2 linked regions of the Canis lupus familiaris genome follow. The protein of the gene in region 1 interacts with the protein of each later gene in a pairwise test. Links are inferred from orthologs where the notes say so. Each region holds a gene or a part of one and is shown on either strand. Other genes may lie near its edges.

Region 1 (3,569 bases):
ATTTGTGCTACAAAATAATTAATTCACTATGCCTTGAATGGCAAAAAGTTTTCCTTCCTCTGATTGACAGTTGTGTTTTTCAGTTTATGCTAGAAATTCTTTCATATTCATTATAACACATAAACCTGAGTAGAAGCAAGAGAAGTTAGCTTTAATTTCCATTTTGTGACTTAGGGAGATTGTTACTTGCCTAAGAATCCAAATTCCAATGGAAAATCTAGTTGTTCTATTCAAATTTTTATCATAATAATTCAATTTTTCTCACTGTCACATAGTGGCCCTCTGAAGACTTAACTTTGACTAGGAATTTAGATTCCACATGTATGCATCTCCTTTTCATATTAATCTGAAAAACTGGAAATAAAGATTTATAGGATAAAAAAATCTTCACGATATAAAATTTCAATTCTTTCAAAATCCAATTATATCTCAAGATTTGTTTGTTTGTTTTTTCCCCTATGACACTATAGTTAGATCATTTCGGTAACGGCCTCCAGCAAATGTCACCTTCCTTCCATATATCCATTCCTTAAATGGTCTCCTTCTACATTGACACTGTGCTTGGTCATATGACTTGCTTTAGACAATGAGTCATCAGTAAATATGAGATAACGAGAGTCCTTGAAAGCCTTGGTCCATTGGAGTTTTTCTTCTATTCCTGACAATGCTTCTATCCCCATTTGAAAAGTCTCAGAGAGCCTATTAGAAGAAAATGAAACCACATACAACAGAGACAAATGTCCCAGCTGAGACTATTTAAACCAACCAGCTCTTCAAACCCAAACCCGCCACGTGACTACAGCTCTATGGGAGATTTAGGTAAGGTAAGCAGCTTAACCATCCAACTGAGCCCAGTCAAAATCCCCGACCCACAAAACTGTGAGCAAATTGAATGTCGGTTATTAGTTGAAACCACTATGATTTTTGAATGTTTGTTACATAGTCAAGGCTAACTGATAACAAAATTGAAAAGGGACCTTTGATAAACAAAAACAAAGATTAGAATTGTATGTGTGTGTATTTTGCTTAAAATTACATATCATCCTTTTCCATAAATGACAACTCAGGAAGACATATCCAAAATACCTAAAAAATTGCCAGACCAAATTTATAGAATTGCTTTTCTAAAAGAAATTATTTTAAACCATAAGGGAAACTTCTGCTTTATAATCAGATAATCACAGGTAACCAAAGCCATCCCCAGAATAGCAAGCACAGAATCTTCACATTCCCTCTTGGCTAAGAGTATAGTACTGCATCCCATTATTTCTATAGCTTGGAAACAAGTCTTAGCTTGTTTCCTTTTTGTACCATAGAAAACATGGTTGCATTTCCTAGAATTCACTGTCTATGGATAAGAACATTAAAATATGTAATTCTTTCCCTCCCTTCTTTTTTTATCTGCTCCCAGTTTAAAAAAAATGAAAATAAAACAGATGTCCAATAATGTAGATTTTGGATTCTCCTTTCCAGCATGCCAAATGTTGTACACTTATGGAGAGGAGTTTGTCTGTGAAGTTCAAGGGAAAGAAAATGTTGTGCTTCACAACTTAGGCACTAGTCATAATATTTAATAAAATATAAACTGCCAATAAATAAAACCACATAAAAGTGTCTCTCTCTATATTCCCAATCCCCAGAAATACCCTACAAAAGCTGAAATCCAGAAATTAACAGAAGGAAAGCAGATGATTTAAGAAACTGGATAAAATAACTTGCTCTCCTAAGATAGTATTCATACGTCCACACCCTGTTGGTATTTCTTTGGTTCTGATGGGATCCCTGGAGGAGGTGCATACAGTGAAAGGAAATGAGACTCTAGTCCTAGGAGTGCCAATCATAACTGCACTGTCCATAAAGATGTTTGGATTTGCCTTTCAGGAATGTTTTCCTAAAGATTAGCAACTGTTAACCATCAGTAAGCTAGATTCTCCCAGGGCAAATCAGAATCCATAAAAAGAATGCACTGGGAGCACTACTGGAGCAAGTAAAATCCAAGAAAGGACCTTTTAGGTTTTATCAACTGGAGTCCACAGATCGTTCATAATTGCAAAGTGTTCTCTAAATGAGTCAATGTCAGAAATTTAAATTTTTGAGACCAATATCAGTTCAAAAATATTTGGGAAATATTTACGAAAGACCTATGGGCCCTTGCTCCCATCATTTCCCAGCCCCCCTTGAACTTAAGTGGCACCACGGATGATTTCCGGACCTTGGAGTATAAATGGAAGTGACATGGGTCATTTCCGGGTGAAAACATTTAAAGGTCAGTGCATGAACCTCCACCTCTTTCTTACCTCCTGTGGTTACCAAGGACACCACATGTTGAGATGCCAGAGAGTCAGCCTGGGTCCGTGAGTGACTGATTGTTTATAATGCTGAACTTGTAAAGTTAGTATGGAGAGTGAGCAAATAGTGAACTTTTTTGTTATGTCATGGAGGTCCGGGGGTTAATGTGTTACAGCAACATAGCAAACCCTGTCCTGAGCAATAGAGGAAACTAATATGGGGTTGCTGGCTTTCTATTATACCAAAATAAGGAGATTTTAAAATATAAGCAAAAAAGAATTGCTCACTATATGCCATCATTATATACAAGAAATACTATTTTAAACCAAAATATATAGGAAGGACACAAATACAGAATAAAGAATGATACCTTAAACTGAATAAATGTAGTTTTCCTTAAAAACACTGCTATCTTATCCTTAATTTTGCCATTTTGCCGTGCCAAAACTTCATCATGGAACAGAACACCTATCTTACAAATGGCATTTAAGAACCACAGATCTAGATATTTCAAAAATGGCGAGAGAAGATTGTTGACTCAACACAATTAAAAATACCATATCACAACAATGTCCAACTTTACCTGTCTTTCAGTGAGATCCAGATTCACTGCTATCTCATATCGCCTCAGTCTGGTCAGATAATTATGATGGGCAAATTCTGCTTCAAGTTCTCTGATTTGCTCTTTGGTAAAAGCTGTCCTTTCCTTCCTGGGTTTGCTATTGACTTCTGACTTGTAATTTCCTTCCTGGGAATCTGGGGGGAATGTAAGAGAGAATTAAATTGACTTTATTCATTCAAATGCATACAATCATATCATTCATACCAGAAGCATTTACTGAATAACTACTTTTTCAGGTACTATGTTAGATATGGAGAAACAGAGAGCAAAGACAGAAGACTGATCTCACAACAGGATAAGATACATTTCTTACTTTTTCGATCTGCTCTCCTGTGACTCAGCCTAATTGGCAAAGTGTCTAATATTCTTTCAAAATATGAACAAAAAATGTATTTGCTCTTAATATGATAAAAAGATAAATAAATAAACCACCTCTAGAAAACAATTTCGGATGTAAAATTGCGTTTAATAAGTTGTTTAATATGTATACTTGGGATCTAGGTATGATTGAACTCTTTAATTCCTAAGAAAAAAAGTGTTGACTTAATATGTGAATATTTAAGCAATTTGAATGTTTAGCAACTGGACCATAAAAGTCAGTTCAAGGTCAGACAAAGCATACATAAAAGTGTGTGTGTATTTACTGACTTTTTAATTT
Region 2 (3,378 bases), on another chromosome or scaffold:
TCCCCAGGCAGTTATGCCTTGTGGAGGCGTTTCCCTGTCTCTCTTTGGTACAGCAGCTAAAGTGAAGAGGCCTGTGGGACTGATATCCAGAGCTACTGGATTCGAATCCCAGGGCCCCTGCTCATGGGCAACATACCCTGCCCCTGGGGCCAGGTTTCCTCGTCTGCAGACCGGGTGCTGGGAGGACTAAGTGAGAGCAGGGAAGGAGCCAGGTAGTGGCCAGCACCCAGTGAGCGAGAGCCGCCATCACTCCCATGTGAGGGATGGCTTTCCTCCAGCCTCCGGGCCACTCTTTCAGCACCGGTTCCCATGCAGATCTAACTCAGCAACACCAGCAGTGAACATGGGGCAAAAGTGAGCACGGGAGGGCAAAGCTCCATCTTCTCCTGTCCATCCTGCTCACTGTGGACCCCTGGACAGTTGGTGTTTCCCTTGTCCGAGCTCTGTGACGCTCACAGGGGCTGGAAAGGGCCCAGGGAAAGGTTTCTCAGGCACCTGAGACCCAGAGGAGCAGAGGGCACTGGAGCGGGCGTGCTACCAACTGAAGAAAACAGTGCTGGCTGGGCGGATGTCGCAACAGAAGAGACAAAACACAGTGAAGAGGGGAGCTTTGAGGATGTAAAATGTGAACTGGTGATTTAAAACATTGGTTTGAATCAGTTCGCTTTTAACAATTCACTTGGAGCAAAAAGAAACATTTATATCCATAAAACTGCAGACAAATCCAACAACTAAGATGGAGAAAGAATTAGAAATTACAATGAATAAACCAACTGACGAAGTTAGGGAAGAATGACTCCCAGGTGTCAGAAAACCTGGACAAAGTCGAGTTCAGGTGCATATGAACTTCCTACAACCAACAGGGGTGCCTGGTGACCAACCCTGGGCTTGAGTGTCTGAGGCCAGCTGCCCGGCCTGTGGAGCAGGGGCGGGGGGCAGGAGGCCGATAGGCACAGACACGGCCCTCCGGCCCACAGTCGGCTGAATGCAGGGGTCTGTCCCAGTGCAGGGCGGGTGTCAGCCTGTGCGTGCTGCCTTCCAGCCCGGCCTCCCACTCAGAGGTGTGATGGCGGGTCTGGGATGGCTTTGAGGAGGGGACAAGGCAGGAGGACCTGGCTCTCTGTGGGCCCCCTCTGGCACCAGGCACCTGTGCTTCCTCCTCGGACACACTCTAACATAGTGCTTTCAAGCTAATGGTTGAAACCCATTTTAGCGAATTGCAACTAGCATAGAAAAAAAAAAAAAAAAAAAAAAAGACAAAGCCCAGAGAGTCTGTGTACACAGAGCTCCCATGATCTGGATGCAAAGTGTTCTGTAAAACGAAGTTCAGGTACTGGCAACAAAGGTGTGCCGGTAGTAGAAAGTATACCATGTGGCTGCAGGGGGAAGGCTCAAAGGCACCCAAAGATGAAGCTGAGTGGCCCAGAGGTACTCAGTGTGGTCCCGGGGTCTGGGCAAGGTGGCTCGCCAAGGGCTCCTCTGCCAGCTGGGGTCTCTGGAGAAAACCTTCCCCTGGGGACCCACAGGCTGGCTGCTTCCACCTGGGAAGCACTTGGGAAAACAGCTGGTGCTGGCGATGAACATCCCCTGCCCCAGTGCCCTGCTGTGCCCAGCCCTCCATCCTGCTGGGACTGGTGCCTTGGGCAAAAGCACCAGGGCACTCTTCATGCCTTCTAAGGTTTGGCACTGAGCATCTGCTGCTTTTGAAATGTTGGAGGACGACCCACAGATGCAGCTAGCAGGAATTTCCCAAACTTAAAAACAAAACAAAACAAAACAAAAAAAACTCCCCTAGCAGGTTGGAAGCATTCACCCCAGGTGCCAGTCGGGGAGCCCACCTACCAGCCTTGAAGCTCAGCTCATCATGCTCCTGCCCTTCGTAGTCATAAAGGGCCCGGACCCGCACTTCCGTCCCCGAGGTGGTGTCCTCGTCAAATGGGTTTGAGTCCCCATTGGCATCCGTGGAGGAGAACGGGTTGTTAGATTCATCATCCGACCAGTCAGTGGGGTAGCTCTGGGTCTTCTCATAGCTGCTCACACTGCAAGAAAAAGGGTGGACCCAGGGACCCTGAGTATGGGACTGACAGAGGCACGAGGCCCTGCCTGGAGGCTCAGCCCCTGCCCAGGGAGGCTGCAGGAGCCCCGGGGCCCGGCGAGGGACCTCCTTCCGCAAGAGCACAGCCCCTCAGCATCACAGTGCAGTCAGGCTCCCCGCAGGGCTGCCCAGCACACCCGTCTTCCTGTGGTGGTGTGCCAGGGCCTCGACGAGGGTTAACGGAGGACAGAGAAAGAACAACTACAGATTGTTAATAGGTGCCCCCCTCCCTGAGAAATCGAGAAGCCAGAGACCGTCCACCAGCCGGCAGCTGAGCCACCTCCTGCAGGCCCCATGCATTGCTGTGAGTGCCAAGGGGGCAAGAGCCTGGATAGAGAGAGAGGAGACACAGAGAGCGAGCGAGGTGGGAACCAGAGGGAAACGTTTGTTCACCAACTTTTTGGCCTTAATGTCCTCCTTCTCACTGACGGTGCTCCCCGTGTCGTCCTCATCCTCGAAGGGGTTGTAGCTGGACAGAGACTGCGCTGACCGTGCGGGGTTGCTCGGGACACTAAGGTCACTATGGGGAGAGAGAGAGCTTTCAGGGGACCCCAGCTCAGCACCCTGCTCCGGCCCTGGATGCTCCCAGCTGCAGGATCACAGGGCCAGGGGCTGAAGGGGCAGACTGGCTCCTCACCCAAGAGGAGGATTTGTCATTTGAGCAGAAAGAACATTTTAGCAAAAACACTTAGTGATATTCTGGGTGGTTAAACACATTTAAAGCGTCTAAGGAGAACAGCAGGTCCATTTCCCTTCTTGCCTGTGGGTGTGGTCTATCCTGAACAGGAGACTGGGGTGCGGACAGGCTGCCGCCGGAGCACAAGTGATGTCCGGCTTGTGGCTTCTCCCCACAGTCTTCCCATCTGGGCCTGTGGCCAGCACTGTGATGCTGGGAGCTGGCAGCCAGCCTGTGGGGCTCAGTGCCCCCCTGCTGAGAGCGAGAGGGGCTCCTGGAGCTCTCCAGACCCCACAGCGCAGCATTCCCCTCCTTCTAACTACAAAGGCTCCTAAGTCCTCCTCCCTGCTTCTTCTGGGGCTAGAGCTTCCAAAATCAGCTCCCAAACCTGCTAAACAGCCCTTTCTAAGAAAGAAGGACCCCTTTGTGCTTCAGAGAGAGAACATCCATCTGCATAACTGTATCAGCCGTCTACTGTGAGCCAGGCCCCAAGGGGATGGACCTGAGGGAGATCGGACCCAGGCCCAGCCTGAGGGCCGACAGCCAGGATGCAGTGAGTGTGCGTGCTGTGGAACAAAATAAGACGGTAAGAGCCCTGGCGCCACAC

Evidence for each region. The genes of interacting proteins can lie anywhere in the genome.
Region 2: the proteins of MEOX2 (region 1) and PACSIN2 interact in binary tests that used the Homo sapiens proteins (3 or more experiments, as listed by UniProt). The two-hybrid records come from large-scale screens. The link is inferred for Canis lupus familiaris from reciprocal best matches to the Homo sapiens genes MEOX2 and PACSIN2.

The regions. Positions count from the first base shown.
Region 1 is NC_049235.1:30,321,156-30,324,724, forward strand, and holds part of MEOX2 (homeobox protein MOX-2), read right to left. Parts: intron 3,046-3,569; coding exon 2,873-3,045; intron 1-2,872. UniProt on the Homo sapiens protein: Mesodermal transcription factor that plays a key role in somitogenesis and somitogenesis and limb muscle differentiation. Required during limb development for normal appendicular muscle formation and for the normal regulation of myogenic genes.
Region 2 is NC_049231.1:23,600,432-23,603,809, reverse strand, and holds part of PACSIN2 (protein kinase C and casein kinase substrate in neurons protein 2), read right to left. Parts: intron 2,616-3,378; coding exon 2,493-2,615; intron 2,040-2,492; coding exon 1,843-2,039; intron 1-1,842.